Arabidopsis thaliana: one gene and its partners. The protein of the gene in region 1 interacts with the protein of each later gene in a pairwise test. Each region holds a gene or a part of one and is shown on either strand. Other genes may lie near its edges. The genes, in order: RING, WRKY7, AT3G60080 and WAT1.

Region 1 (8,000 bases):
TCATCCAAATCCAACTAAATGTTTTGATAAACTCAAACTAAAATATCTATTATTATTGTTATTGACTTGTTTCTAATCTAAATTTGATTTGGGAAAATAAATAAGATACTGGATTGAGACATGGTAATCGTTTCTTGGACGCGTTCATTGTAACTCGTGAATTCATCACATCGTCGTATTCATCGTTTTGTCTATACATGCAACGCACATGATATGACCCAATCTAATATATTTATTGCACGACAACAATAATGACTATGCAATATTTTTAGTCGGATGGAGAAATATGATTCTTTTTTATTCATATATCTTGTGGACGGTTGGAATACACGTAAGATGCTTCTGTTTTCAAACCCCTCTCGAGAGTTCGAATGTCATGTAATAATAGTTACATATAAAGTACTGCCAAAATTAACAAATCTTTACTATGAAAGTAGGACTTTCATTAAAATTCAATAATTCTTTCCAAAAATATTTTGCAAAATGAATGGAGCATGAGGAAGGGCCAAGGAAGAAGAGAACCTACGATTTTGGAAGAATATCACCCATTCACTTTACATGTCTTGTCCTGAGATTCTATTGTTTTTTTCTTCGGATATCCTGTCTATAAATAATTTAGGATCTTGAATTTTCATCTCCGAAATCGCCATGTGAAAAATATACATATATATTATATATATTAACTAAGAACTAATGTACAATTATACAAATTCTTATCAACATATCTTAAATAGACGAGGTTAGTTCCAAGGTTGAAATGGCTCTTTCGTCCCTATTATAAGACAAAATTAAGTTTTCTTTTCTACGATTCGTCATTTAGTTTTCTTATCGATTGTAGCACTGTGTTTGCGTCTATGTTTCTACGTATGATGAATCACTAATTGGCCGATACTCAATTTTTATAGATGTTGGATGTAAATTACGATAAGTATTTTTGACTTTTCTCAAGATCAGTGATTAGATGAGCAATTAATGTAAAGAAATTTGCTATTGAAACCCATTTAAGAAGTCGGCGCAATATAGAGGCTCGTGGTCATGAAATCAGTGGATAGAGTGCTAGACCCGATAACATAACGATATATTCGCTAAAAAAAGTTTGTGCAGCCACTTATCTTCGTTTTGATATCTTGAAAAATAATCCTCAGAACAAACAAATTTCAGTTCAAATGATATATGGTAATGTTACGGGTCTAGTCACTCTAGCCATTAACTTCATGGCTACGAAAGTAATTTCACAATTTTCCGAAAATTCTGTATGTGATCATTTTTGAAACTGGTTTTACCTGATTCTTTTGATATGTTGTTGTCGGGTGCTTTGTAATATCGATCTTCTCGTATGATTGCCTCCTCTTGTCTTTCTAGTTTTTTTTTCTTATGGAATCTATCACATTATACATGTCTTGTGGTAGATTTGTAATGGGATTGGTCACACGATGTCATAGTATTCCTATGTTCCTTTTTTCTCTCCAAGGTATCTTGCCGTGTAATATTTTTCCATCTCTCAAATCTAGAGTACTAATAATTAAGAAATCTAAAGCCTAATAGATAGTGTATGGACCGACAAAAAATAATAGATAGTGTATGGAAGTATCCGAACAGCCCATTTGAGAAGCCAGCCCTTTTACGGAATCACTTCTTCTAGTATTTGGTTGTTATTCGGATAATCGGATCTTCTAATTCATGCTAGGTTTGGTAATGGTACGACGATAATGTTTGATATTATTCTAAAATAAACGATAACTATCCTTTAAAATAATATCTAAGACTTTAGAAACGCTTTATAGATTTTTATAGTCCCCACAAATAATAACAACCATGATTTTTTCTGATATCTAAAATTATAAGAGTATTTCGCATCAGAAAAAAAAAAAGAATACAATCCAAATATACTTATGAATTGTTGGAAGTAAATTTTTTAGACAAAGCTCCAATTAGTCACAAACATTATCTTTGCAACAATCACTAACTAATTTATTTTTTCTTATTCCCTTGTCCAAACTCGTATAAAGTATAAACAAATTAAAAGATAGGGTTAGGTGAATATAACATAAAACTTTGGGCGAGGGTAAGTAACTACGTAATGTAGGGGCATGGCCAAAAGGAAAAAAATAAGTATGGGTAAGAACGAAGACATGGAAAAATGTGAATTCAAACTCTCTCTTTAATTAATTTCTGTACGAATCATCGCAGAGTCGTACCATTTTCATTTTCGCCACTATTTCGTTTCGTGCCATTTGATCCAAATAATTCTAAGACATAAATTAAACTAAATTATTGGATAGAGACATGGTAACGTTTCTTGGACGCAATCATCGTAACTCGTGAATTCACACATCGTATTCATCGTTCTAATTTCGTCGTTTATAGAATTAATATAGGATATAATTTTAAAAATCCATTTTAGTGGGGGTATTTTATTTTGTCTAGACATGCACTGCACATGACATGATCCGAATATGAAATATTTATTACACGACAACTATAATGACTATGAACTGAAAATGTCGTTGAGACAATCGAATTCAGACTATTTCTTTTTCTTTTATCATAATTTATTTTAGTTTCGATAGCGAAGTATGATTCTTCTGGTTGAATATAGTTGCGGGGTTGGAAAGATAAAGGATACTTCCAAATTGCAATAGTATATATCCATAGACCATTTTTATACCTTTTTCAATTTATATCGACGCTATGATAATCTTTAAAAGGTGGTAGATAATTCAAACTCATGTGATCGACTTTGAGAATAAGCAACCAAACAACGGTGCAACTTAAAAAGAACTCTGGAATATTTACTTTTCAAAACATTTTCGAATCACTTTAAATTCATTTATATGATTTATTCTTTCTTTTTTTCCCACACATAATGAGAGGAGGAGCCTTTAAATTCTCTTCGACAAATTATTTCGTCTTTCTTTTTTGCAATTTTCAGTCTTGGATTCCATTTAAGTCGTAAGAAAATCAAGAGTTAACCAAAAACTAATTTATATGTACTTACAAAAAGAAAAGAATCAATTTGCTATTTCTTTTGCGAATATAATCCTAAGGAAACAAAAAAAATATAAATTAAATTGTAACGAACAAAAAAAAAAGATGGTCAAGAAGACATGTTAACATGCACACTAGCGTTCATGACCATATCGCAAACCGGACAAGTCCGTAACAAAGCCGAACCACCACAAACCGTACACAAACACAAATGACGACATGGTAACACCAACACACTCGCTTCTCTCTCACCGCACCGTTTACAACCACCACCAACCGCCGTTACCGCTTCACCACCACCATCACCGCAACAACTTCCACAACTCGATTCCGCATCGTCTTCTACAACGGCTGAAGCGGTTGGAAACGTTTCGAGTTGAGCAAGAACTTGGTCTAGGTTTGTTCGAAGAGTATTAGCGTTTGCTTCGTTGGTTTGAGCGATATCACGCCAAATCTGATTTTCGACGTAAAGACTCTTCACCCTCTCTTGTAAAACCCAGTTTAGGTTTCGAATCCGTACGATTTCATCGTCTTTCTCTTTTAGTTTCTTGGCTATAACGTTTTGAACCGCAGACGCTAACATCCGCGTTTGCGTTTGTTGCCTTGCTTCAATCTCTATTCTTAGCTTCTCCGTTTGCTGAGCTACGAACCTATCGATCTCTGACTGTTGTTGGTTTTGAATCTGAGATACGAGTTCAACGTTTATCAACGACGGTGATGATGAGTCAAACGCTACGGACCTCCGTTTAACCGGAGCGTTTGAGTCTGAGAATTGAAAATCTCGCTGGCGTTTTGTAGACAGAGGAGGAACAGTGAAATTGTAACTGAGACCACTTTCTGCTTTGTTGAAGTTGGCTTTCGCAGCTAAAGGCTCAACGGCGAAAGATTCTCCGGTTATTAACGGAACTTCACCGCCGGTAAACTCAAACTCGCCGTGGTTCATGTTTTCTTGAAATTTAACACAATCTCTGCAAATAACAAAAATAAAAAAGATTAGAGGAAAATAAAAACAGAGGAAGTTTGTTTGTGAGAAGAATATAAAAATGAGATTTTTACCTGTTTGGTGATATAAACTGAGAGAAAATGTTCATGTGATGAGCTTGAACAGCCATTGTTGTTGAAAAAAGCTCCTAGAGATTCTGAAACAAAGAGAGAGAGAAGAGGGAGGAGTTGTGGCGACTGGTGAAGAAATCTATGGGATTGGCTTTTATTTAAGGGAGAGAAAAAAGTCAATATTTTTTTAATTTTCTATAAATACATATTTATTACTTTTACTATTTAAATATTTTAGATATTTAGAATAATTATGAATTCAAATTAGATATTGACTTTCATGGTATATTACCAATTGTGTTTAGTAATTAAAGTTTTTGTAAATTAAATGTTAGTAAAATACAGTTGATTTTTGTAAAAGGAAAAAGAAAAAGAAACAACCAATTTTATGAACTTAAAAGGAATATAATCTAGAGAAATATAAAATATACTAAGTTTTTATTCAACAATATATACTATCTTTCTTGAAGTTTGCAAATATTGGGACGTGTAAAAAGTTTTTTTTTTGTAATATTTCTTTCTTATTTATTGATGCACTCATGCATGTTTCCTTAGCAACATCCACATAAACATATGCAAGCTTGACTAGTCAAAGAGCCATTATAAAATCAATAAATTTTTTTTTGCTAATATGTTAATGATATTAGCATAAACTATTCGATTTTTTCTTTTGTTGAAAAAACTATTAGATTTTATGTTCTTGTCCATCCTTTTTTGTATTATTTCTAAAATTTAAAGATGCAAATCCTATAAAAAAAGGTGCAAAGCTGTTTTTTCCTTAAATGCATTTTTAAAAATGTGTAAAGCTGTCTTTCCTAATAAAATTTTTATGTTAGTTCACTGTATTCTCTTCTGTAAAAAGATTCCAAATTAACCTCTCTTTAGTCAACCCATATTTTTCTTATTAACTTTTCCTTATTTTGTGATTACTGTAATTAAATTTCATATCAAAAGATAGTATTAAATATGCATACTCTTCATTTCTTCAGTTTTATTTTATTTAAAATTTAAACCATTCCCATGATTTTAATTTTACAAACTATAAAGTTACTCTCGTAATTTTATTCAATGTGGCAAAGCTCCGCTTTATATCTGCCATGTCATCTTCCACCGTGGCATATTTGGGACTTGTGATTTACTTTTCTAAATTTTCCGTGAGCTATCTTAAGATCATGTAGCGGTGCATTGTATTAAACGAAATGGCACAAAACAATAATTTAACCATTGTAAATACATTTCTAAAGTTAATATGTTTCTTAATTTTGTTTTGTCGTAACTGGTTAAGTTGCACGTGAGAAGCGTGTGGGGCCATGATGTGAAGATTGAGGCCACGTCTAAGTGGGACCAAGAAAAACTTTCTGTTTCATTTCTTCGTGAAATTTTCAATAAATTAATAATTGTTTAGAAATAAATAAAAAAGATTTATTGTTTCGGTACCACCAATTTTGTTTGCTTCTTGAATTGTCGTCTGGTCGCTTTTTAATTTTTAATTAGTAATTTCCGTATTAAAGAAAAAAAAAAGGAAAGAGAAAATCGGAATCATTCGATAATGTTATATAGTACGGACAAGTAGGTCTTGTCATAAAAGTGTGATTTCCTCGGTGTGGGACAGGTCGACCACACCAAACGAATAGTCTTTTTCTTTTCCTTATTTTCGTTTTCATGCCTCTCTCTATTTTTTTTTATTGTTAATCGATTTTTTATCCACTAAACAAACATTATCATGATGCGTATCTAATGTTGTTCATACCAATTTTTACATAGTAACTTGAGCACAAAAGAGTTAATCGATTATTTTTGTTATAGTTATTGAAAAAACACATATATATTTATTAGGGCTAGACATAAGTACTCGTTACTCGTCTTATATTCGCTACTTGATTCGTATTCGCCTTGAAAAAACAAATGCTCGTTTTTAACAAGGCAAGTAACAAGTAGTATAATTTAGATACTTGCAAGTACAAATCAAGTAACAAGTAATGAAAAAAAACTAATACTCGACTCGTTTGACTCGATACTCGTCATTATTTTACCATTTTCTATACATATATTGTATTGTTTTAGTGTTAGACACATTTTAAAACTATATTAGAAGTAAAGTAAATTTTAAATAAGTAAAAAATATGATAAATAAAATAATAAGTAATTTTAAGTAATTCGAAAGTGTTACTTGCAAGTAATTTATTTGCAAGTAATTCGCAAGTAGCAAGTAATAACTCGTAAATACTTGTAAATAACTCGTGAATATCAAGTAGTAACTCGTAAGTACATGTAAGTAACTCGCAAGTAGCAAGTAACAGGACAAGGCAAGTAACTCGCAAGGCAATCATATTTTAGCAAATACTTGAAATTGTAAGTACTCGTTTTCAATAAACCAAATACAATTACTTATTTGATTACTCGTACAAGGCAAGTCGAGTAACAAGTATCCCTAAAATAGCAAGTACTAGCCTTGCGCCCACCCCTAATACTTACGTTAAAGTGGACGATCTCAATCTCTTTTTACAACCGAGAATTGTGTAAATATCGGTTCAGTCTTTCTTTACCGATACATCATATCTATTTTGAACTCAACAACATTTTTTGGTGTAATAGAAGTTTTTCCACATATGATATTAAAAGAAAAATCAATTTAGAAGACCAAACCACGATTATTTTCCTTAAAAGTAACAGTACTGAACAACTTTGAGGATAAACCAGACTCGTCGAAAAAGACAACTTCGGTTGTCTTTTCTTTCTCAACTTCATTTGTATATATATTTTGTCGACATATTCGTTTGTCTAATTATCGATTTTGCTCCAATGTCAGAAACTAAGCCTAACATCATCACTTGTTCAGAGCTTTTTATCATTTTAGAATAGACTACTTATTTGTCCCATTATACGTTTTCAAATTCATTTTCAATTTATATTCTATATGTGGATTTCTAATTAATATTGATTTCGTAAGTTAGACAAACGAACAAGATAGATGTGGACGTACGTGGCCGAGTTCATGCTATATATGAAGGAAACGTGACAAGATGAAAACTCCTAACTTTTTAAAATCAAACAACTAGTGTGAATTGAATTCTCTAATCATGTATATAGCTAGTGTCGTCAATTGCTTTATTTTATAAACATATACATTGATTCTTTCAGTCGCGGATTAGTTATTACTAATTATTTGCGTAATAGATAGATATTTTTTTCAAATTAAGTTTCAAAAATTATAAAAACAACGAGATATTTTTTTCACCTAAGATGTTTATACTTTATAGAGACTCAAACAAATATTCAACAATTTTACATAGATGATCGAACTTAATATTTGATTTTGATCCACTTGACAATTTTACATAGATGTTTTTTTTTCCACAAAAAAAACTCCTACGTTTATATTGTCCCTTTTACAGTTAAACCTTTTCATTTTCATTTTGTTTTATATGCTATGTGTTATGTATGTACTATTTCTCTTTAACAACAGATAATGACATGACATTAATATTTACATTCATATTATATAAAAAGACAAGAAAAAATGCGGAAAGAAAGTTGAAGAACGACATATATAACTTTTGAAAACTCGAATTGGTCCATCCTTATCGGCACCAACTACTAGTAGGTGTCAGTCAGATTGATCCATCCCGGCTTGGTCTATGCACGAGTTTAACGGATGACATATACATATAAGGTCGATTCGTTTTTTTTTTAGTTCACGGGTCATTTTTTGTTTTCTTTCTAATTTTATTCTGATTCTAATTTAAGGGTTAGTCTGGTTGATCCGTTTTTTAATATGTATATTATGATTTTATGATAAATAATTACATATCTATATATATTTATGATGAATATGAAACAAGTCTAAAAATATAAATATAAAAACATGAAAGGGTCATATATATTGATTGGTTGATTCTCCGAAGCCACCACCACTATTTCTCTTCATTACATGATTGCATTAATGATAAAAAAAAAGA
Region 2 (8,847 bases), 1.9 Mb from region 1:
CCCTTGCTTGATTCATAAATCATAGGTCTTTGCATAATCAATGCACTAGAAATCAACCAGTCCTCGCGCACATATGTATACATATATTTAAGTGTTTTGGTTTCCAGATGCACCTAAAAAAATACTTATATGCAAAAGAATAGATTTGCCTTTGTTATCCCAAAGTCCTCCTTCAAGCCTTGCCTGCTTAAGCACTGGATTCACCTCTCCCCTGAAACTATTTCTAAGACAAGTTAGCTTGCAGTTAGAAAAAGAACCATATAACTGGGTGCTGGAAGGAAACATACAAGAAATCTCTGACAAAAAGACATCATACTCTTAGGGAATACCATTTTTGCTGGATTCATCAACACCAGTTGTGACTAAGTTGGTCGGATCTTCTAATGATCCTGAATTCGGAGGCAAGCCAACAGAGGTTTCCATTTCTGACATCTTCCCTACCTGTTGAGAGAGCAAAGTCAAAAGTTTCTCAGACCTCAAAAGCCATTAAAACATCCAGGTGATATTCAAACCCTCAAGATCAAACAACTCACAGTATGACCAGCTTTCGTCAAACCAGGGATTTCCTTTGAGACAAGTGCAAGATACTGCTCCATTGCCTCTTCTTGACTCATGTTTCCAAGTTTTTGCCACGCATTCCTAAAGAACAAGGTAAGCACAATTTGTCACTCCCACATAGAACTTGTTGAAAGATACCATAAAGCAACTAAGCTATACAACAATTGCTGATTCTGTCCTAATTAGATGATCAGAAACCTTTTAAAACTTTATCCCTCCTAGTTTCTAGTGTATGGAATCTATTTCCATATCAGTAATATGACCTGCAAAACTCTGCAATAAAGATTTCTACCTAACCACTTTTATCAGTCTTACACCACAAAGTTCTCTCCTTTATGACGTTCACATTACAAGTATCAATTACCAATCTGAGTTGCAGAGGAAAGAATTCAGAAACAGTGGAAAAGTATGGTACCATTTGGCACGAGCAGAGATCATGACGGCCATAGGTTGTGCCTCTCTACATGACCCTTCAGTGGCGATCTTGTGAAGGCCAAACAACTCCATCTTAGCTTCAGCACCAATTTCTTCAGCTTTCCCGGATTCTTCCAAAAGATTTACAGCAGCCGCAAAGGCTTTCTCAAGTTCACTCCTCTCAATTCCTTCCCAATCATCATCTTCTTCAATAGTCAACTCTGTTTTCTCTTCATTCTCTGCTTCAGCATCACTCTCCTCCACCATATTACTACTCTTTTCAACTCTAACCTCCTCAGATTCAGCGACTAAGACATCTCCACCACTTTCTTCGTTTTCTACGCAACCACTTCTTCCTAATTCTGTTACTTCCTCTTGTCCTTGACTCTTAATCTCCTCCGCTACCACGTTTTCCGGCGAGACAGAAGAAATGGACTCAGCTTCAGCCGAGTCGCTCTGTTCGTCCTGTCCTCGAACTAAGATCACCTCCTCGGCGATCACATAATTTTCCGACGAGGCTGCAGCCGAGGACTCAGCTTCACGGTCACCACAGATTTTAGCGTTTCCAGTAACAGCTTCATCGACTTCATAAACTCGATCAGCTTCTTCGCTAAGAAACCGATCGACAAGTTCCACATTCTCATCAACAACTTGGAAATTCCTCTGGCTTTCGAGAACACGAGCATCCATCTTCATACCAAAACGAACATCCTCTGTAACACCGACACCGATCTCGGGCTTGAGCGGCTGATCAGAACTCAAATCGTTCTCCACCGTAGCAACAGAAACGAGCTTGGCCAAAAGGAAAGAAAACAAGAGAGCAACAACCGCCGTGAGAAGCATCTCTAAGAAAACCTCCATGATCGAAGAAGATGATGAAAAAGGAAAGTAAGATACTTAGGATCTAAAGAAGAAGAAGGAGAAAGGCAAAGAATGTAATTATACGAAAGGTTAGAAAAGAAGGAAAGGAAAAAGGAATAAATGAGAGACAAAGAAGAAAGCATATTCGGCTTTAAACGGGAAGCGGGTCCGTCAATTATATTTTCTCAACGCCTAACCGCTATGACTGCTGACTTGGCTCTTGCGGTTTTATTCTTATCCTCTTCTCCACCTCACCGGCTCCTTCCTTAATCCTTATGCAGCGCGCCGCTTTTTTTTTTGCTCTCACTGGATCTTTGTCTTTGGACTCTTTACAAACTAAAATAATGATTGGAAGAGTTTTTTTAATTTTTTTTTTTTTTTTTTTTTTGGATTTTCGTATGATAAAAATCTGGCTTTTAAAAAACACACTTTTATGAAAACTAATTTCCTTAATTTTGATTGGATGTTTAGTGAGTTTTTTTGAAATAACAAAAACCAGCTCATTGAAAATTACTCCCATTCCAAGCTTTAATGATGCTGAAATTAAGTTATAGTTTTGAATGGTATAGAAATGGAAATAGAAAACAAGACCAAAAGAGAGATTAAAGGTTTTTGAGGTAATATGCAAGGACAGTTCATAGTTTATTTGGGCCTTTACAAACAAAACATGGGCCTATGTTAATGCATAATATGATAAGACTAAGGCCCATGTCTTCCTACCTATTCACCTACATGGCCAAACCCAGTCGATAAGTTTGTGACGGAACCACAATCATGACACTCGTCCTTATTTGCTCAACTACGGTTAAAAAAAACTTGATAAATGGGTAACAACACACTTCACGAAGAAACTTAAAAATCAGTCTAACGAGGTTTTCACTAATAAAAAGTTTTTGTTTCTTTCCCTAACGACTTTACCAAACAAAGAAAGGCAAACTTAACTTTGCCAAAATTACTAAAATCACTGTCGCACAACAAAAGTCTCCTCTTTGTTTTTTTCTTTTCAAAATCTCCTTATATATCAGAGTTGATAGAGCATTTATTAAATCAGTATGTGTGATTTATTCTATATTCTGCATAAATATGTAATATTTTTAGCATCTTTTTTTTTTTTTTTTTCTCATAAGTGTAATATTTTATTCATTTTATCATTACCAGTACAATGCTTGGTTATGAGAAAACCAAAATAAAGCCCAAGACATCCCACATATAAAGGCTCATACGACACAAAAGAAGAGATAAGCTATAGACGTGTCAGACCAATAATAATAAGCTAGGGACACGTGGAACGTCCACAACCTTCACTAGTCCTGGACAAAATATTCGTTCGATCCGCTTTAACTCAATATTCGATTTGATTTGATTCGAAAAATCCGAATATTCGTAAGATTTTGGAGCAAAGCAAATAGAAAAATGTAGTAATCGTAAAAACCGAAGCAAATAACAAATACTATTTTTTCTAAAGTCGGATATTCGCTTCGATCTATATATATATATATATATATATATCACAATATAGGTTGTGCATTTGTATATGTTGGGATTTGGGCTTGTATTTGTATCCTTTGGGCCTGTGTTTTTTTTGTGACACAGTTTTTATTAGAGAAGTGGAATTTTTTAAAATAAAATTGTTTTATTTTTTATATTTTATCCTAAAATTGTCGTTTTACTTTCCAATCCATCAAATATAAGAGCGACATTTCTGTTTCCTTTCTTCGACCTTTCACTATTTTTATCACTCAATTTGGTTACAGAATTTATAACCAGAAAATTTTCAGTTGCTCTCAATCTCACACTCGTAAGTCATAAGGTAAGAAATTTGAAATCTATGTTAAATAATTTATATAAAAAAATATTTGGATGTAGCAAAGCAAAGCGGATATCCGACAAATATCATACAAAAATCCGGATATTCGTATTTTCGGATATTTGGAAATTTTCGGATCAAAGCAAATAATAAAATTAAGTATTCGATTAAAACGAATCGAATAACAAATATCCCAAATTTTCCGGATATTCGCTTCGTGCCCAGGCCTAACCTCCACTGCACATGAGACTCAAGCCTGGTGAATCAGAAACGTCGTTGGAAAATCACCGGTCAACGAGACTTCTTTTTTATCACCAATTAAAAGTTACAGAACAAACATCAATCTCCTAATCTCATCCGATTGCAAGAATCACAAAGGATTCGGCAAAAATGGGTAAAAGAAATTAGAGAAAACTGAGTAGTTCAAACTTGTCTAACAATTAAATCTCTTGCAAGAACAACAAAGGCATATCTTAATTGCATAGGAAACGAGCTTTGACCTAACCTTAGTCGTGGAGAAATTGAAACTGTCTTAAACACAGTAGATCCAAACGAACCTAATTGTCGAGAACGCACACATCGCCGGAAAACTGTTGGAGCCAAAAAAAACAGAACCCAACGGTGAAGCCAATCAAAGCAGAAAGAAACTAAATCATGCGAAGAGAACACCTCTTCGGAACTGAAGATTCTGCCTGTCATAATGTTTCATCATCAAGATTTTAAAGCTACAAAACAAAAACAAATCCGAAGAAACCGAATTCAAAATTGCCCAAAAAGAAATCTAAATCCCGATCAACGGGAGATAATAGCCGGAAAAAATCCAGATAACGGAAACCGGAAGAAACCCGGACGGCGATTCTAAACTTACATCGGAAAAATCTTTCTCTGAAAAATACTATAGAGAGAAGAGAGAGACCTTCCTCCTTTTAGATCTTTCTTTAATTAAAAATTTAATTTTTATATTTTTAGCATCTAATCAGCCTCAAAAATATAAAATATCTTAGATTTTTCTCGAATAATAATAACGAATATATATATAATTCGAGCTCCACTTGCTCCAAATTTAAAATCATTGACGCTGAGGAGTGTCAAAACGCTTGACAAATGATCACACGTGTAAGCCTATGAGTGGTGGTCGATTTGACTGATGCACTATCAACACATACCTAAAGATATAGAGAGAGAAACGCATATCGTTGACTCTCCCCCTTTTTCACTCTCTTCATTTATTCTTCCCCTCATCATCATCATCATCTTCTTCTTTAACCAAAAACACAACTTACAAGAAAACTGTTGAATCTTTGTATTTATTTACATCTCCTTTGACCTTTAATAAGAATCTGAGTGGTTGGTCTCTGATTTGATGAGATGACTGTTGAGCTGATGATGAGCAGCTACAGCGGCGGCGGAGGAGGAGGTGATGGTTTTCCTGCAATCGCCGCGGCGGCGAAAATGGAAGATACCGCTTTGAGAGAAGCTGCTTCTGCAGGGATTCACGGTGTGGAGGAGTTTCTTAAACTGATCGGTCAAAGTCAACAACCAACGGAGAAGAGTCAGACGGAGATAACCGCGGTGACTGACGTCGCCGTTAACAGCTTCAAGAAGGTCATTTCTCTACTCGGTAGATCTAGAACCGGACACGCTAGATTCAGACGAGCTCCCGCGTCAACGCAAACGCCGTTTAAGCAAACGCCGGTGGTTGAGGAGGAGGTGGAGGTGGAGGAGAAGAAGCCAGAAACAAGCTCCGTGTTAACAAAACAGAAAACAGAGCAATATCACGGTGGTGGATCTGCGTTTAGAGTTTATTGTCCAACACCAATTCATCGTCGTCCTCCTCTATCACACAATAACAACAACAATCAGAATCAAACAAAGAACGGTTCGTCTTCTTCATCTCCTCCGATGCTCGCAAACGGAGCACCGTCAACGATAAACTTTGCGCCGTCACCACCAGTCTCAGCGACGAACTCATTCATGTCTTCTCATAGATGTGACACCGATAGTACTCACATGTCATCAGGATTCGAGTTCACTAACCCATCTCAGCTCTCTGGTTCGAGAGGTAAACCTCCTTTATCATCAGCTTCGTTGAAGAGAAGATGTAATTCATCTCCCTCAAGCCGTTGCCATTGCTCCAAGAAAAGGTTTTGATTCAACTTCTATTATTAAAAATTAATCTTATTTTAGATCTAAATCTTGAGATTTGATTAATAAAACGTTAATTATAATTTGTGTAAAAAAATCAGGAAATCAAGAGTAAAAAGAGTGATTAGAGTTCCAGCAGTAAGTAGCAAAATGGCTGATATACCATCAGATGAGTTTTCATGGAGAAAATATGGTCAAAAACCAATCAAAGGCTCTCCTCATCCTCGGTAATTATTTTTTACATTTTTTACCATCGATATATATACTCTACACATACATCACAATCACTCACTAGATTCAACACCAAAAATCAAATATTGGCTAGAAAATTAAGCAACTTGTGTATTGTCAATATTAGTACCAGAGAGATTGTCAATATTGTTTTTTTCTATATCGGTTGTACCAAACATGTTGTCTAGTAGTACAGTAGTGGGTTCAGTTTCACGCTCTTTTTGACTTGTTGTTTCCTATAGAATAAATTTGAAATAGAAAGCCGAGAGTTAAGTTGACTATTTCTTTTCTCATTAATTAATAAGAACTCGAACTAACTGGGGAGGACTCGGTGTAATGGTTATGACAGGGGATATTACAAGTGCAGCAGTGTAAGAGGTTGTCCGGCGCGTAAGCATGTGGAGCGTGCACTAGATGATGCGATGATGCTAATCGTGACGTACGAAGGAGACCACAACCATGCTTTGGTTCTCGAGACGACGACGATGAATCATGACAAAACTCTTTAGTTTCTCGAGTTTGAGGGGAACTGTCTGTGTGTGACCACTATCCAGATTAGTCAACGACAGAGTGGGCCCGCACTGCACTTTTTTATTCTTTTCTTTTTGAAAAGCTTTTGCTTTATCTTTCTTTTTGATTGGAGGAAATAGAGGGAGGGGAGATAAAGACGAGAGAGGAACGTTGTGGATCTTGATGGAAGTTGAATCATGTGAATGTCCTTTTCTGTTTATTTATTTCTAGGATAATATATATTTAGTGCACTATTTTTGTCAAATCTCTGATTCTTTTCTTACTTGCAGAACTATTTGAGTTTTTAGGGAAATTATCAGTTAATTTAGATTCAACTGACCATAATGCTATGCTGGTAATTGGAAAAAATTGCAATTCAAATTTCGTTAAACAAAAAAAAAAAGAACTATTTGTAGATTACATAGTCAAATCAACTTAACACACGTTTATAGAAACTAGAAAAGTTGTCGATCAAATAATAAGTAGCTCTAATAAGTATTTATTTCAGCATTAGTGAAAAACCTCAGATGCAATGTCGTTATCCTTTTAAGTGTGTTTTTTCCAACAAAGTTGACAATGTTTATGATTATGTTAACGGCTATAAATTCAAGTGTAAAGTACTTCAACATTTAGTAAAAAATTTAAAGCTTTACTACAAAATTTTGTTACCAAGAAAATCAGCTATTCATGCATCATTGCGTTATAACTCTTCAATATCACTTTTAAGTGATGTTTTAGAGACTTTTTTTAAAAAGATGTTTTAAAATTTTTTAGACCAATCATATTTTAGAGTATGTTATCTAATTAGTTAAAATTTGTTTAATTGTATTATATGTAAAAGAGGTAGGATTAAAGTGATACACAAATTATGTGTTTTCTTAATTTGTGTATAAAACCTTTAAACATCACTTAAAGTGATACAAAAAGAGTATTTTACAACATATCCATTAATAGAATTTAAAAAGTCATTCACTTAGTCAAAAAAAAAAAAAAGCATTCCATATTTTTTATTTTATTTTAGAGATTAGTAAAAGAAAACGTTCAAATGCAATGTTATTTAGTATTTTTCTCCCTTACAAAGTTAACGACCTTTTTAGAAATTCTATAACGTCTACAAATCGTTTTAAGTATTAAATTGAAAAATGACAATGAGTTCGAGTAATTTGTTATTGTTAAAATATAAAATTTATCTTATTTAAAAGCAATTCTAAAGTTCTTCTCTTTAGAAGATGGGATAAATTTATCTTATCAACAAAAAAAGGTACTTATATAAAAATTTAAATTTGCCACTCTGAAAAATTAAGCTACATCCGATAACATCATTGAAAATTTAAACGTTGTGAAAGTAAATAACATAGAAGCTTTTTAATTATATATCAATCCATGTATCATCGAAGCTTTCTTATAAAAAGTAACAAGTCAACTTAATCTAGTAGCCTCAAAAGTAGAAAGGAACGTTGGCGTCAATGTCATAGATGCACACAATCCTCTGATGAGAGCTCTAAATGTGAAATAATAAAGGGATAGCCTTATTGGATTACGACACAAATTGCAACTTAATTAAGGGTTTTCACTTTGGACATTATAAGATTCAGGAGTTGTAGGTTGCATCTCTATCCTATGAGCCTCGCTCGTGGATTCGCCTCTGTTCCTCGTATCTTCTAACCATCCTTCCAGTGTGGACTGTACTACATTGTCGAATATCCCTTTCTTGAATTTGCTACCCATCTTTTAAAAACCGAGCAAAACAACAACAACAATTGATTCAAATTTGTTGTGAATTGGTGTAAACATGTGAATATATATGTGTCACTTACTTGTGTAACAAGGGCATATAGTGGTAATGTGCTGTAACTGCAAAGCACTTGGACTAACACTCTGTATGAACAAAGATCGAACCAAAAATATTAATTAGACCTTTTGAAGGTTGATATTTAGATTTAAAAGAGTTCATATATTACCCCATGACGAGTCTTGGGATAAGGTAGCCTAGTTTCTCCATGATACATGAATGTATTCCGTATGTGAACTGATGATACGATGGATAACTCGTAAATAAGAATGCGATGGTTCAAAAATTGTGGAAGATAAAGAAAGTGAAGCTGAGGGTTGAAAGAAAACGTACCAAAATCCAGAAGAAGAAAGCAATCTCAAATGAATTCTGAAAGAGAATGAAATGGATGAGTTGGAGAACAATGCCTGGCCTATGGAACCAAAAGAGTTCATCAGAAGGTGTGATCACTGCTTCTTCCGCGCGGCTTCGCTTCTCGGAAACATCCAAAGCTAAGCTACTTATTATATATTCCAACTTGGCACCCACC
Region 3 (7,837 bases), on another chromosome or scaffold:
TGTGATCAAAATTATAACCATACCTCATCTGCATCAAGCAATGAGGTTTCCCAGAGTAATCCAGTCATCCCTCTCATTCCACCAAGTACCTTCACAAATACCACATGTAAAACTATATATACGAGTATGTTTAAAAGATAAAGCCTTTGTGTAATCACAAATATCATTAGAATCCGTACCATATCAACGGTGATGTTCCCCACTGGAACCTTTCCTTGTTCTGATTTCAGTTTCTTCAAACGGTCCTGAAAGTTGAAAGTTGTGTTTGTGTATGAGAAATGACATCAACTAAAACAGAGAGAAGAGCTTGATCTCTACATGAAATCTGCCCTAAAATTAGAAACAATCTCAATCACAACGAAGTAGAAACTAAACCTGTTGTTCTGGAATGATCTCTTGCATCTGCGACTTCAAGTCCTGCATTACCATCATTTTAAGCAACATCAACACAAAACCTAGAAGGTAAAATTCCAAATTTTTGGTTCTCAAACTGAACCGCATGATCACGAGAACATGAAAACCTAAGAAAGTACCAATTCAGAAGAGTGGAGCCATCTGACGGAGTTACTAAGTGAGGATTGTTGCACCTGTGCTTCTTATATTAGATCTGATCATCAAATTGTATCACATCAAACAAAACACAAAAAGGATGAAAGCTAAATCTACTCACTGCTCGAGACCGTAGTCTTGAAATGGCTGATACGCTGCGAAAAAACACCATTCTTTCAAACCTCACAACACTGATCGGTTACGAATCCAAACAATCAAGATTGGCTTAACCAGATAAGAGATAAAGGGAAAGAGAAAGCGTGGAGAAGAACTAACGGGAAATTCGAAAGTTTCTTCAACGTAGAGAGAAAAATTGAGAGATGTTGAGATATATCTGCAACGTGATGAACAAGCGTCAAATTACAACATATGTAAACCAAACACACGGATTCTTCTTACCAAACCGGTATAATGAACCAATTGATTACCATTTAGAAAACCAAACGAACAGGTTATGTTCGGGTTCGGTTGAGATTGGTTAGTTCCGTCGGTCCGTGAGACGCAAGATTCGAAGCAGCCGTAACGATTCTAATGCCTAAAAAAACGGTCATTAATAAATAAAGAACAAATGGTATGTAGCTTTTGCTGTTGCTAAATAAAAAAGTAGCTTCTTGGTAAAGTCCAAGGGTTTAGATAAAACATAATTTTATTTTGTTGGAAATAAATAAAGTAAAAATGACATTTCACAATTGAAAAAAAAAGTTATAAACTTCGTTATTATAATTTCTTGGTCGAATGGGCGGTTTGATATTCTTCATTCTCCATTAGTTATCAGAAATTTTTATATTCTTTTGAAATACTATTTAATGATGTAACACAACTATTAACAATGATGGATATAGCTATAGCTAGTTAATATTAAAACATTGGATATCATATTATATGACACTATTGATCGTTATGTCATCCAAAAAATAAACTGATATTTCAATGAATGAGATTGGAAAAATATGACATATATCCATTACAACTCATTATAATCATATTACCATATCATTTTAATGTTTATGAAATGTGAGTCCACCTTTCATAATCTAACGTTTTGAGAAGTTAAAATGTAATTTAGCCATAAAGTTTTGAAGGTATATATCAAGAACATCGCCAATAAAACAGAACTTTATTCATTTATATATTCAAATCGAAACTCTTTTAGAGTCATGTAAGAATCATTTATCATTATAGTATTTCGTTAATTCAGTTTAATGGAATTCATTTTTGTTTTATCAAACAATTTGTTGTAAGTAACATGACTTATATATGAATTAACAAACAAAATAATTTGACGAAAAAAAATGAACAATCTAAAAAATTCAATCACAATATCATTCTCGCTTTTCTATATATAAAACTTGCACACGCACGCGTGAGTACAACGTTACACCATTTTTAAGTAGAGTTTTCACATGATCGGAGATCAAAACACAAACTTACTTTTTCTTGGCAAAATCAGTCTACAAACTCATCACTACACTCTTTCTTGGTAAATTAAGTCAGTCTAACAAATTAAATCAAAGGGCACCCAAGCCCAAAAAATCCAAACATTTGTACATATATACAAGTTATGTATGTTCCTACCTATATAGATGATCATCGTCTCAACCTTGGTCTTGTCTTGACCCATGTCTTGTTATGCTCCATATCGAATAAATGATCAAATCATCATCAAAACCAACAGGACTTACGATTAGTAGAAACCCTACATATTAGGGTAAGGTGTGACCAAACTAATTATTGTTGTTGAAGATCAAACCATCGACTTGAGAATATGTTGTCGTCTTCATCAAGATCGATCAAACCGTCAAAATCAAAGTAAGTATTTGTGTTTGAACTTGATCCCCATTCTTCCTTCACCACGTGGCTCCCTATTATTCTGTTGTCCAGTTCAGCCGTATGTTCTTGGCCGGAATCTTGAGGCAAACCCGGTGGCGCAGGAAAATTTGTGTTGGTTATCTTTTTCTTAGAACCGGTTTTGGTGATCTCCGGTTTCCCGGTTAGACTTTGGACGAGTGTGCGGAAGTTCTTGACATCGGTGTTGATGATCTCGGGAGCAAATATATGGATGATACGGATCTTAGGCTTGATCTTGGTTATTATTTGGGAGTTCTTGTTCATGGGAACCAAAGTTTTTGAATAATCACCATAAAAGGTTTGATGAGGAAGATGATCTATATCGTACTCAGCCTTCATAGAATTTCTCACCATATAAACGTAAAAAGAAGATGAAGAAGCGAAGATTTTGGGTTTTTCTTTTTTGGATTTCAGGTTTCTTGTATTGTTTTGGGAAATGATATGCATATGTTGTGGATTATATGTCTCTATATATATACACAAAAAAAACAAAATGTGAATATACAGTTTTATTGTTGGTTTGTAAAAAAACATTAATAAAATACTATTTCTTAAAGACAAACAAAATGAAAATAGTTAAAAATATAAGACGAAATAGCTATGGACCTGCCTTCCATTACACACTTTTCAACAACTTGAGTTAAATAAATTGTAATTTAAACAAAAAGAATGATCTGTTTCTTTTACGCTATCGGAATAAAATGGTTTTTAATTTTCCAACTGATGATATATCATATAATCAATTAGCTATATAATTAAGTAAAAACATACATATGAGTAGATGGCGTGAGCGATGTTTTATTTAATATATGTGGTTGACTATATAATATAGGTCGTCGACTTAACCTTTGGAGGTGAATTTGACTTTGTTTTATTTACGAATTTGTTAAAATGTCCTTTACCAAAATAATAATAATAATAATTTGTTACATGGCTTATGGAGATAGGGTTTCTTGGAGTTGTACATATATTTTAAAACAATCTTTCACTACATATGTGAAATTCGTCTTAGTAATTTTCACGGAGCATATGTGAAATGTAATTATTTATTGTCTATGGTAAACATCGTTAATAGTAAAAAAATTACATTTGTTTCGGAATTAAGAGATTAGATAAACCGACAAAAAGAAAAACAAATTCCGTGTGCCCTATACTAATAACTTAATAAACACGACAGATACTCGTCGGACGTGATATGTGACTCATCTGTACACGTGCAAAGCTTTTTGTTTTGATGTTTTGATTCCTTGGATCAAAAATCCAAAATTGTTTGACCCAAAAAAAAAGATTAATTAATTATCCAAAAAAAAAGCGGCCACTAATCATATGGAGAGGTCACTAGGTCAGACAATTTCGTTTATCCAAACTAGTAAAATAAGTATAATTAGTTACATCAATCGATTTTTTTTTGTTCACTACTTGAATGTTGCATCAACTGATTTAAAGGTCAAAGTTATCTATTTAATTTAAATAGATCATAGTTTGACATTAGCGTGTTTCGGTTATATAAAATTTCAAGAATTTGACATTTGTAGTTAACAATAGCTGTATGATATTTTTGTAAGAACAAATCGTATTGTTTTGGTCATTATTTAATGTTGATACGCGGGATTGTTGACTTACTCTCCTTAAAACTAGTGAAACAAATCTCCCTATACTAACTACCATGTGTTGAATTATACAACCGTTGATCCAACTTTCTTTGGATGCTTTGAGTTTCTACTCGATCAATTTGTTTTTCACATCATGATAAACTAACTTGTTTTACGTCAAATCCTTTATTTTCAGTTTGTTGTTGTCTAACAGGGAGATGTTTTTCGTATTATTTATCTAATGTAACTATTAATTGTTGCTAACCAAAATATCATTTGATCCTAAACCTAAACTAAAAGGGCAGAAAATTGCTTAGAATCACTAGTGTCTCAATCATTGCATAATTCATACAATTAGATGTTTTAGAGTGCATTGGTAGAAGGATTTCACCAAAACCACTGGCTCCTACCATCCTATTTTTTAGGTGATGGTGTTTTGATTCAAGCAGGTCTGGTTAGAAGACATCATCAAGGGTGAAGAGTTTTGTTAATGACAACTATATAGTAGAGCTATTATTATTATTAATTTGTAGTACTAGTTTAAAACCACAATTAGTCGAACAATTGGGATTCTTTTGTAAGAAGCAAAATCAAATCATCAAAACTGAAAATCAAAAGACAGATACATGCGAAAAGGTCCAAAAACAAAAATTGGTTAAAAATCAAGTTTTAATCATCTTATAGCCCAAGATTCTCAGCCCAATTTTGTCTTTGTTGGTGGGCCTTGTATTCACTTTTATTTTTATTAGAGTCAACCAGATCAACAGACTACAGTCACCACTCACCGTATCAGAAAGTCGAGAAATGAAAAACGTAGAACAAATCATTACACTTACGTTTATTTCATCAATTATTGTATCGAAAGTAGACAAAACTCAAAAGCAAAGAGATCATCAACATTTGTCTAAAAAGTAAAAACAATTGAACATGAAGAAAAAAAAAAAACTCTCGTTATTGTAACTATAATCAATAATCGATTAAAACGCCGATCGGTAAAATAAACAGAGAGCTGAGAATTTGAAGCAAACAAAAAAAAAACTCATATTTGAATTTCGAAATCGTTCTTACAAAGGCGTCGTTGTGACGTTGCTTCTGTCTGCTTCAATCTCTTCTCTTCTTCTCATACCAATTCCAAGACCTGAAACAGTCCTAGCCAAATTCCTCTCCATCTCTCCCACTCCCAATCTCATCTGCTCATGACGACGAGCCAGTCTTCTCAACGCGTTTCTGATTCCAAGCCAATCATCTTCCACATCATCACCATCTGCAGCAATCGTAGCCAGATCCGATAATCTGATTCTCATCTCAGCCTCTGAGCCACCGATTCCCACCTTCGCCGTCGTAGGGAGCTCAAATCTACAAAGCGGACACGAGTTATGATCCGAGAGCCAAGGGACGATGCAATCGGAGTGGTATATATGACTACACGGTAATCTCCGAGCAGATTCTCCGATGATGAAATCCTCTTTGCAAACGGCGCAGAGTAAAACGGAATCTGGATCTGAATCATCGGTGGAACAGAGCAAAGAAGACGAGATCTGAATCGTGGGGATCGAATCGATATCTGAAGATTTCAATAACGAAGAAGAAGATGAAGACGAGGAAGAAGAAGACGATCCTGAATTATCGGAAGCGAGATGACGAAGAAGACGGTGAAGGTAAGGACTATCGAGGAGGAAATTATCATCGGAATTAACAGCTGGATCAACGAAACACCAATCTTCTTCGTCGTCTTCATCATCGTTTTCTCCGTCTTGTTCTTCAAAATCACCGATGGTAACGTCAAAGAGATTAGAAGAAGAAGAATCGTGATCCATACGTTCGAGGAAATCGACACGGCATTGGGGACATAACAGAGGAGAGGAATCGGAATCGGAATCGGAGGAGGAGAGGAGGGATAAACTCATATCGCATTCATGACACCAGTAAGTTCGTCGTTCAGGCTCGCCGTGGACGGTGGTTGTTGTGGTGGTGGAAGACGACATTGAGAAGTGGTGGTGGTGGTTGTGAGAGAAAGAAAGAGAAAATGTGAAAGAAGAAAAAAAGGAAAGGAGAAACAAAAGTTAGTGGTTGTGGTTGAGTACTAGTGATAATGGGTTTATGATTGGTTTCAAAGCCTTTCAAGGCCCTTTTTTAATATATAAAAGTTAAAATGGATTAAAGTTGGTTTATAAAGGGCCTACCATTTTACTTGGCTTTATTCGGAAGGTTTGGTAGTGGGTCTCTCTATTCTTTGAAGTTTATTACAAGTCTTTGCACTTACTAATTGGACTTTGCTAGTGATAATATTGTTTGATTATAATAAGTATGCATATGTGTGAATGATAACTACTTTGCTATACCTCTATTAGATCAAAAAAATCACAGATTTGTTCGTTTGACAACTGCAACAAGTAATCAAATTATATACAACATTTTCTATTGTTCGTTTTCTAGCGGTCGCTCTTAATTACCATATTTTAAAACGTAATCTTTTTTTCTATCATTGATCATCGTGATATTCAAACGAACAACGTTGGATGTAGTCACCAAGTAATTGCCAAACATCGAATCTGCGATACTATATAAGTTATATACGGTACATTTGTTTATTGTAATCTCGTATGATGTATTCTAATCTTTGATATATGAGGGCAGTTGACAAACAAATGTATAGCAAAGTAGTCACATTTAAATATCTAATAACGTGTAAAAACATCAAAAGTCGCTTTGGCCGAGTGGTTAAGGCGTGTTCCTGCTAAGTACATGGGGTTTCCCCGCGAGAGTTCGAATCTGTCAGGCGACGTATTTATTTTTTTAGTGGCATTTTAAATGTTGATGCTGCAACAACGTGCCTTCTCGTGTAAGCAAGCAATAAAATAAGGAAAGTGAGAAAATCACAATCATAAAGATTTGAGCTTTTAATTGTTTGTTTTCTTATCTAATGAAAGTATGGGCGTTACAAGCGTTTAGTAGTAGATTCCAGTTGCCTGCAAAAAAATTACAACTTTTTTAAAAGAATCTCTGACAAATTGCTATCAAGATTCTATCCATTAACTGATCCCTTGCAAACAAAATTCCAAAAGTCACCCATAAAAGCCATAACCAAATCTGGAAAATGAAACCGACATGACCGCATGATTTCTCAGACTATCCTGCCTCTCTCATTCACTCTCTGATCACTTCAATTTCCAATATTTTATAATACTATTTTTTCAAGGTAAAAGAAAAGGTCTTATGTTCATAGAATGACTCACATAATGACGTTGGAAGAAAGGTATTAGTTAGGGTTAGTGGAGAGAGTGCTCAATATGAAACAAGTTTTTCTCTGTCTTCTTTACTCCTTCTTTTTCCCTCCTTTGGGGGAGAAATTGTTGCTTTTGAGGTTTCTTATAGATCAATCTCTCATCACAAGGGCTTTCATTTGAAGTTGATTCTGGGTATGTGAAAGCTCCTTCCTTTGATTTTTACTCCTTCATGGGTTTGAAAATTTCCCCTTCCTCTGTTTTCTAGGTCTGAAAGTTCCTATTTTTTTCCTGATTTAGGGTTTGATAGCTCAATTTTCATCTCTTTTGTTTCTGATTAGCTCAATTAGATCTTATTGAGGAGTTTGATAATTTATTGCTAGGGGTTTCCCAGGTCCAGATTGATTAAAAATCCTCACTTTATTCCGGGGAAAATTTCGAAGCGGTTGAGAAAATGACCGGAGGAAGTGAGGAGGATCCATTCACAAAACCCATTGGAAGATGGTCTGTCTTCTTCTATGGAGTAGGGCATATGCTTAATGACATTACTGCTTCTTGTTGGTTCACTTACCTCCTCCTATTCTTGACCCAAATTGGTCTCTCCCCTAGGTGCAATTTTATCTA
Region 4 (8,943 bases), on another chromosome or scaffold:
CGCTAGCTAGTTCGCTTTCTTACGAAGACTGATACATTCGGATCACCATAATTATAGTTCGTTGAACTGAAATCAAGAAAAAGAGAGAGCTGTTTCTGTTAAACGTATTGAAATCACGTTAGTGGGTAAAGTGGCATTAGTCTTATAATAATATGTTGAAGGGTCATACTTGTCTCGTCCTTATAGTGTTGTCGCACGTCAAGGTGTCTTCTTAGTGACATCCACTTATCATCACAATTCAAACGAATCTAAGGACACTCTATATCAAATATCAATCAAAGCATCGGATGAAAACTTTATATGCATAATCTTTCTATTAGACACAAGCATATGTATATAGATATACACCATTGAATTGCATGTGAAACAGTGCAGTTATGGAGGTGTGTATACAGTCATTAAATGTGTTCCAGTTTTGCAGAACCGTGTCTACGTTCTTCAGACAATCAGTCGGAACGTTTTATCTTTGTTGATTATGACTGATCACAAGTATTGTCGTAAATAAGTGATAGCATTTAGCGTATCGGATAATTAGTGAAAGAATAAGAGCCGAGTTTATATAACTTGGTCATATTAAGATTCTAAATTTATGCATTAATCTTCTCAAATACCTCTAAAAGTAATTTACATTCTTTTATCTTGGAATTTAGGTTAAAAGCTAAATCTTTTGTGGTAAAGTTCAAAAGTGGAGTGAGAAAAAGAGAAGAGAGAGAGATCGGAGACAAGAAGATTCGCTCGTGGGCGAGCAAAAATGATAAAGAAACGAAATAAAGTGAGGAAAAAGGAGACAAGGCAATTAAATATTCCAACTAAGATTGGTCTCCCTCTTCTTCTTCGTCTGCTCGTTACCGGTTACTATCTTGTTGGGTCCTTACCCGATCCGTTACTGTCTTGCTGGGTCCTTACCCGACCCGTTTCTTTACCCTTTACCGATTGAGAGAGATAGACTTAGATCGAATATCATCCTTTATATATCGGGATCTTCTTTTTCATCCTAAAAAGGGTTTTGTTTTCTTCCTTTTTTAACTAAATAAGGGTTTATCTTCTGTCACAAAGACCAAAAATGCTAATTAATTCCTTTTATTTGTATTTTAACTAAACACTTTTATAAGCACTACTGCACTAGTTCCGGAAATTGGGCTAATTAATAGTGAAACTTTAGTCTTTACCATCAATAATACGCCCTTCTTTTATAACAATTGATGTTTAGTGATCTTTCATATTCATTAAGGAACAAACTAAAAATATTTCATCCTACCATCTACTGATCTACAATAAATTAATTAGTGCCAGTGTTGTGAAATTTTGAATTAAATTTGACACCTTAGTTAATTATGAGTTCAGTGCTTGTTTCGCATAGGTAACAACGAATCATCATTTGAGAATGATATAAAACAACCTAAATATATGCAAGTGTAAATCATGAACCTACGTTATAGATCCTAATATAAACCATATATAATTAACAAACTAATATGTGCTGGATTTGGTATGTCCAGCTGGGTATGTCTTCATTTATCTCTCAAAATTTACTGATACTATAGCTAATAGCTATATCTGAAAAGAGTAATTCCCAATTTCAACATACAATAACAAGATATTCATCAATAAGATCACTTTTACTAGTTATGAACAGTACCTGGAGAAACAATTGATATTTTTCAATTATCTACCATACACATCATCGCGTAAATCAAACCCTCAAATTCTGAATGAATTAGAAGGAAAACTCATGCCAAGACCTCTGGCAAACTACGTATTTTTATTATGATGAAATAATCATTTACAAGAATTGTAGACAGATTTGGAAATCTCAGTATAGTTAATGAAGGGGTCTGCCTCGACAAATGGCATTATGGATACGGTTGAGCATACGTGTACCACTTGCACGGCCAGTTTCATCACATATATACATACTCCTTTGACCTTTCTTAAGTTTTTTTATTTATTTTAATTTAGGATTACCCCGAAACTACACCATAAAATTTGTTTTCAAAAAACGTCACAACCTTTTCTTGTAAGAAGCTTTTCTACAACTAATCTAGTAAGATTTTACAAAACTGTTTCGATTTTTTTTTAAAATGCTGATATCATTTTGAATGTCCCAAAATAATCCCTTCTTTAGGATTACTGGAAATGTTTTAACAAAATTGTTTTAGTGATAATGTTTGTAGCTAGAACTACAACTAGTTATTTATATATTTTGATAAATTTTTAATTTTGTAGGAACAATTTTCTATAAATGTAGAAAATATTTACAGAAGTATGATATTATTAGAAACAATGATTTCTTATACAATTAAAAAACATGTTTCGCTGTGTATTGAGATATTTTCTATTCAATTTTGATATGAATAGCATCTATGTCAAGAACAGAGGATACAAACTTTAGTTTAGGTTCATCGGGATAATGGTAGAATAAATATATTTTATAAAATAGAGCAATTAGATAAATTAGTGTAACGTGAAAGTATAACTAAGTTTAACTAGATGTATTAAAATGTTAAGGTAAATATCTTTGTTATTGTTCATAAAAAAAAAAGATTTTTGTAATAGAAATGGAATATAATGAAGTAATGAAAATTCCATATTGTTATATTTTGTTATGTTTTACATGTTGCTGCATATAGTTTATCTAAAACAGATTTGTGACAAAATAATATTCCATGAACAATTTTTGCCATGATATTTCTTTTGTCGTGATACATTCGTGGAAGGAAAGAAAAATACATATTTGGTTTGTTTTCACGTGGATATGCACATGTTTCTGTGTACAATTTACTAAATTGGTTTCTCTGGGTTTACATTGTCGATCTCTCCAAAAATAACAAGACAAAAAGAAAGAGAAAAATGAAAGCATATACAAGCAAGCAACCATAAAATTTTCGATGATTCTATTCTATAGGGATACAAATGTATTTGACTATTGGAAAACAATTACACACGTCTATTCGATGAGCACAAAAAAATAGAACTAAAATAAATTAACAAGAAAAATAAAACTAAAATAATTGAGGACAAATACAGATAATAATATTGGTGTAAGCGTGTACATAAATATTGATCGTGTGGGTGTGCCTGCGAAATAAGAGGTACTGTGGGTCTCACGGTTCGGCAGTGCGCGTGGGGCTCGTCCCTACAAAATTAATTATGTAACATAAATAAAATCAAGAAATATATTTACCAAAAAAGAAAGTAAATAAAAGATGTTAAAACGAAATGTCGTACATTTATAATTAAGAGTGTTATTCTCCTGAAGACTATACTGTACAAGTAATAATTAGTAGCAATGCCATGCTGCTCAATAAATATCAAAGGAAAGGACAAACTAAAACCATTATAATGTCTACGATAGTGAGTGCAAATTGAGGAATAGAGTCGTAAATAATGATATATTTTGTGCTTTTTCTATTGTTATTTTTACCTTTTTGATTTTCAGAATTAAATGATTTTAGATATACAAAAAATTAAGAATCATAATGATGGTTGCGTTAATGAGTAGTGGCGTGAGGGTTGTCATGTCAGCTAAACAGCAGAAAAATAAAAGAATGTGGGAGACAGGCTTTGCCCTTTTACACATTTTTAAGCTCTCTTCTTTATTTTCTAAAAACACTATAGTACACAGTTAAAAATTTGCGGGCCCTTTGTTTAATCGATTTAGATTTAACCAACAGCTTCATAGTCGTTTCTTCTTGTTAGAAATCAATAAATGAAAAGTTGGTTGTTTTGAAAGCATATAATTAACTAACAATGTATCATGTTGTGAAACAAAAGCTGATGATAAATGTTAAATATAGTGTCCAAAATTTTGGGAATGTCTTCAAATTTTGATTTTAAAACATATGAGATGTACCAACATCCACAAAATGTTTGTGAAGTTGTGACTTAGTGAGACGTTGTCACTTTATTATCTCGTTTTGGTAACGGTAAGTGCATGTGAACGTGTTTGATTATAAGTTTAACCCGACTTTGTTTACGTGGTCATAGTTTCCAATAAGGCTAAGTAGAATAGTGTATGATAGTTTTCAATTCAAGAGTCTTTTTTTTCCAAGAAAATCCGAAAACACAATCGTTTATTTTAATATCTCAAAAGAAATCATATTTCTTAGGTAAAACTATCATACGTTGAGTTTTTCTTTCTCCTTTTGCGATTTTCCCTGAAATATATTTATGTTGTGTGTGTGCTTTGTAAACAAAATAATAATGAACGTAATAATAGTAAAACAAAAAGTAACCTATATTATTATCATACTTGATATAACCCAATAGAGAAATAATAATATAAATTAAAATTTTATTTCCCAATTCAAAAATCATAATCAAGGAGTGAATGCTGCCAGTAGACCAAAGTAACAATATTTGGTGTGTACATCAAATGATAGGAAACAACAAAAACTCATTAATATACCTAAATCCATATATATATATATATATATATATTTCAATATTTCACATTGTTATAATTAGGTTTAATAGATACCATATTAGAAATCTCAGTATGGTGGTTCCCACAAGCAAAGAGGGGAATGAGATTGCTATCTACCTATATTTATATCTCCGCAACTTCACTCTTTTCCTCAATCAACACACACAAACACACACACACACAGCCTTTTTCCTTCGTTGATCGATTGTTAAGCTCGATCCAATGGCGGATAACACCGATAATCGGAGATCCTTATGGGGAGTTCCGGAGAAGCTTCAGCTTCACATAGCGATGCTGACGTTGCAATTCGGTTACGCCGGATTCCACGTGGTGTCTCGAGCTGCTCTTAACATGGGAATCAGCAAACTCGTCTTCCCTGTTTATCGTAACATCATCGCCTTGCTTCTTCTCCTTCCCTTCGCTTACTTCCTTGAAAAGTAACCTTCTATTTTCACTTCACTTCTTTATTTGAAAACCCTATTTTTTCTCTAGTTGCTAGTTATTTAATTACCAAACTTAATTGTGTTAATTTAGGAAGGAGAGACCAGCGATTACTCTCAACTTTCTCATCCAGTTCTTCTTTTTGGCACTCATAGGGTATATATTTATATCCTTCACTCTGATCTTTTCAATAACAAATTTGGATAATTAGTTAATGAATTATTACACGACAGAATAACAGCGAACCAAGGATTTTACTTGTTGGGACTGGACAACACTTCACCAACATTTGCTTCCTCCATGCAAAACTCTGTTCCCGCCATTACCTTTCTCATGGCTGCTCTTCTCAGGCACTTACTCTACACATCTCTCCATTTTCATTCTCTTTTGATTTATAAAAATAAATAACAATATTTTGGACAGCTTGGATATACAAGAACCACTTTAATAATGTCCATTTGACTTTTCAACGTAAAAGAAACGGATAATAATACACGTAGACAATATTTAATGCCGTTTCCATTTGCTTACAAAATAGTGATAATCATAGTAGTAACAACAATGTAACATACTGTTTATGTACTGTATGTGAAAAAAACAATAATTCAGGATTGAGAAAGTAAGAATAAACAGAAGAGACGGTATCTCCAAAATCTTAGGAACAGCTCTTTGTGTCGCCGGAGCTTCCGTCATCACCCTCTATAAAGGTCCAACCATCTACACTCCGGCTAGCCACCTCCACGCTCATCTACTCACCACAAACTCCGCCGTCTTAGCGCCGCTAGGAAACGCCGCGCCTAAAAACTGGACCCTTGGTTGCATCTACCTAATCGGTCACTGTCTCTCGTGGTCAGGCTGGCTTGTTTTCCAAGCTCCGGTTCTTAAGTCTTATCCAGCGAGGCTCTCGGTTACGTCTTACACTTGTTTCTTCGGAATCATTCAGTTCTTGATCATTGCTGCTTTCTGTGAAAGAGATTCTCAGGCTTGGGTTTTTCACTCCGGTTGGGAGCTTTTCACCATCCTCTACGCCGTTAGTTTTTCTTTCATCTGTTATAATTAATTCGTTTTTGGCCCTAATGTTTCAAAATAATCAATTTGGTCCTAATGAATTGATTTAACTTCAGGGAATCGTAGCGTCTGGAATCGCGTTTGCGGTTCAGATTTGGTGTATTGACAGAGGGGGTCCAGTCTTCGTTGCTGTTTACCAGCCTGTTCAGACTCTTGTCGTTGCGATCATGGCTTCTATTGCGTTAGGCGAAGAATTTTATTTGGGCGGGTATGAAACTATAATAATATTAGTGGTTTATATAAATACTTGATAAAATCCAAGGTCCTAAACAAGAATAATTTTAAAATTTGTTGTGCCACATGTCATATTTCTAATGGCAGGATTATTGGAGCGGTCTTGATCATAGCGGGACTTTACTTCGTATTGTACGGTAAGAGCGAAGAGAGGAAATTTGCAGCGCTTGAGAAGGCAGCGATCCAGTCCTCCGCGGAGCATGGTATTGAACGTGCACCTGTTTCTCGCAACTCCATCAAGTCGTCCATCACAACACCACTACTCCATCAGTCAACGGACAATGTTTGACTACTTTGGACAAATCACTCTCCAGCTAATAATTACAAATGCCATTACCCAATTAAAAGGGAACAATGGTGTGCCGTTGTGTTTTATGACTTTTGTGTCTGCTTTTTTTCTTAGTGTTTTCTCTTCTTTTTTTTTTCTAAAAAATTATTAATTACCTAAGAAAGGTTTTTGAAGAAAGGAAAAAAAATGGTGGATGAGACATCATTGTTCATGAGGATGATGATGATGATGATAGTGATGAAGAAGACTATGTGGGAGCTTTGGATTGAGACTTTTCTATATATAATATCTGGCTGATATATTAGTGCCATTTTTTCTTACATTTCTTGTGGGGTTTTTCTTTCCTTTATCATCAATAGAATGTTATAATTTGCATTTATGATCTTTAGTAATTATCACTGTCGGGGATGTTTAAAATGGATTAGATCAAACGCTTTGTTCTGAACTGAAGTAAAAAAAGATCTTTAGTATTTGATTAAAATGATCTCTTAAAGAAACAGTTTTTTTTTACAAATTTAGTTTATTATCAAATATCCAATAAAAATTCTTAACCGAATGAACAAGTTAAAAATAAACCAACATTTAATATATATAATATAATATGGACCAACTAAGTTATAGTATGGACCAATTCTTGAGTTGAAAGTCCATAGATTTTAACATGGTATTAAAGTTTAGCTAACTTGAGAAAGATGTGTTGTTCGATATATAATTTTTGGTCCAATATTAGAATTTTGTTTGAAATAGACGGATAAAAGCATTATTTTAAGGAGAACGTGTTAAAAATTTCACATATACACTTCAATGCTCTACATTATCTTTCTTGGTTTTCTCGGATCAGCTTACACGTCAGCTTTTTACATATAAAATATCATCTTTTAATTTGATGTAAACAAGAAGTTCATTAACAGAATTTCATATCTTATTTACCTTATACAAATAAATTTCATTAACAAAAGAAATTCATATACATAAGGAAAAACACAGTGCATAAGCGACTTTGTCTCATAATCGTTATCTGGCATAGGTTAGTCTACCATGTGGATTCAAGATTTCGTATTTGAATCCATTAGTTAAATCATATATAGCCCGTTATTGGAGACTGGAGACCATATATAAGCCGAGATATAATGATGTTGGGCCGGAATAAACGGGCCAGGTTTGTTATAAACCACGCCATATAGTCTATCAAGACTCGCGAGGATTACACGTTAGTACAAAGAGAAGCTAAGAAGAAGATGCAAAGAAAACCAAGAGAATAGTCAAAGACTTAAAAGCCCATAGAAACAGAGACATATAATAGTTACACATTGACCGTTACACACAACGTAACATCCCGTTTTCTTTATACAGATACATTGCACTTGATTTAATAGTTTTCCCCATGACACATTTTTAGCTTCGAGACAAACAACTGTCGTTTTTATGTTTTTTTTGATATGGTAAGAATCTGCTTTCACACTATACAGACAAACCACATATATAGATGTGCACATATATAAGTACATGTAACTGGTGTTTATTTACATATATATCCTAGTTCACGGTGACTATATTTGTATATATATGTAGTTTGTATATGATAACTTAACAATTAAAGAGAGTCTAGTGACACCTCAAAGTGGGGAATGAAAGGAATCCCAATTAGAATAGCCACCGGAAATACAAGTATCAAACCGAGAAATATCATTATCTCCTTCATGAACCCATGGAAATCCTAACGACATTGTAGCTTCTTCCCATATTGAAGAATCATCCATTACCGGCAAATCCACGTTTATATGCTCCCATGATATCTCCTCTGTCACTCTTCCACATGATGACATCTCGTTGGATGAACACGGCGACTCAGAGTCGCTGCTGCTTTTTCCACCGGTGTTGCTGCTTGGTGTAGTCTGGGACGCCGGAGACGACGCCGTTTTAGGGTAACTTCTTAAGGACTCAGGGAGGTTGAGATGAGCCTCAGGCCCATAGAGCTTACGAGCTGCGGAGTCATAAGCCAAGGCAGCTTCACGGGAGGTGTCGAAGGTACCGAGCCAAAGACGAGCTCCTCGGTTAGGCTCGCGGATCTCAGCGACCCATTTGCCCCAAGTGCGTTGTCTAACACCTTTGTAAGTGCAAGACGCGTTATCGGGTCCACCTTTTCCTCTCATACAACCTTTCCTCGAACTAGCTTGGACGGTTCGTTGTTTCTTATTAGCACCAACCATCATTACTTTTGGCTCTATGGATGACATGTACGGATGTTGATAACTCGAAAGTGATATTATGTGACGACTTTTGGTGAGTGATAAGGCAAAGACATGAGGTAATGGTTAGGTGTGTATATATACTAGAAGAGAGTGATGAAACGTGGCGAGGAGAAGATATAGCTGGCGCAGACATGACGGAGGGTCGTGTCGAGAGGAGGAAGCTGGTGTTGTGTTTGTAATCCTAACACTTGTCTCGAGAGACCCTTCTTTTTTTGGCAACAGTAATCGTAAAA

The links.
Region 2: the proteins of RING (region 1) and WRKY7 interact in a two-hybrid assay, tested with the Arabidopsis thaliana proteins (one large-scale study listed by BioGRID).
Region 3: the proteins of RING (region 1) and AT3G60080 interact in a protein complementation assay, tested with the Arabidopsis thaliana proteins (one large-scale study listed by BioGRID).
Region 4: the proteins of RING (region 1) and WAT1 interact in a protein complementation assay, tested with the Arabidopsis thaliana proteins (one large-scale study listed by BioGRID).

The regions. Positions count from the first base shown.
Region 1 is NC_003075.7:10,710,536-10,718,535, forward strand, and holds RING (SBP (S-ribonuclease binding protein) family protein), read right to left. Parts: upstream 4,211-8,000; 5' UTR 4,101-4,210; coding exon 4,045-4,100; intron 3,957-4,044; coding exon 3,098-3,956; 3' UTR 2,875-3,097; downstream 1-2,874.
Region 2 is NC_003075.7:12,566,922-12,575,768, forward strand, and holds WRKY7 (WRKY DNA-binding protein 7), read left to right. Parts: upstream 1-4,616; 5' UTR 4,617-5,008; coding exon 5,009-5,784; intron 5,785-5,886; coding exon 5,887-6,012; coding exon of another isoform or gene 6,013-6,016; exon of another isoform or gene 6,017-6,365; coding exon 6,366-6,525; 3' UTR 6,526-6,852; downstream 6,853-8,847. Other genes in the region: ACBP3 (acyl-CoA-binding domain 3), read right to left, coding at 201-223, 330-441, 534-639, 974-1,833; AT4G24231 (uncharacterized protein), read left to right, coding at 1,954-2,103; MLO13 (Seven transmembrane MLO family protein), read right to left, coding at 8,087-8,254, 8,344-8,404, 8,488-8,555, 8,652-8,847. UniProt on the Arabidopsis thaliana protein: Transcription factor. Interacts specifically with the W box (5'-(T)TGAC[CT]-3'), a frequently occurring elicitor-responsive cis-acting element.
Region 3 is NC_003074.8:22,185,772-22,193,608, reverse strand, and holds AT3G60080 (RING/U-box superfamily protein), read right to left. Parts: upstream 6,335-7,837; 5' UTR 5,975-6,334; coding exon 5,054-5,974; 3' UTR 4,675-5,053; downstream 1-4,674. Other genes in the region: CSY5 (citrate synthase 5), read right to left, coding at 24-89, 180-245, 376-417, 534-587, 671-721; AT3G60090 (VQ motif-containing protein), read right to left, coding at 2,278-2,751; AT3G60070 (Major facilitator superfamily protein), read left to right, coding at 7,668-7,822.
Region 4 is NC_003070.9:28,335,797-28,344,739, reverse strand, and holds WAT1 (Walls Are Thin 1), read left to right. Parts: upstream 1-4,464; 5' UTR 4,465-4,648; coding exon 4,649-4,863; intron 4,864-4,960; coding exon 4,961-5,023; intron 5,024-5,100; coding exon 5,101-5,217; intron 5,218-5,476; coding exon 5,477-5,897; intron 5,898-5,991; coding exon 5,992-6,143; intron 6,144-6,256; coding exon 6,257-6,458; 3' UTR 6,459-6,552; exon of another isoform or gene 6,553-6,958; 3' UTR 6,959-7,014; downstream 7,015-8,943. Other genes in the region: AT1G75490 (Integrase-type DNA-binding superfamily protein), read right to left, coding at 8,075-8,695. UniProt on the Arabidopsis thaliana protein: Required for secondary wall formation in fibers, especially in short days conditions. Promotes indole metabolism and transport (e.g. tryptophan, neoglucobrassicin and auxin (indole-3-acetic acid)). May prevent salicylic-acid (SA) accumulation.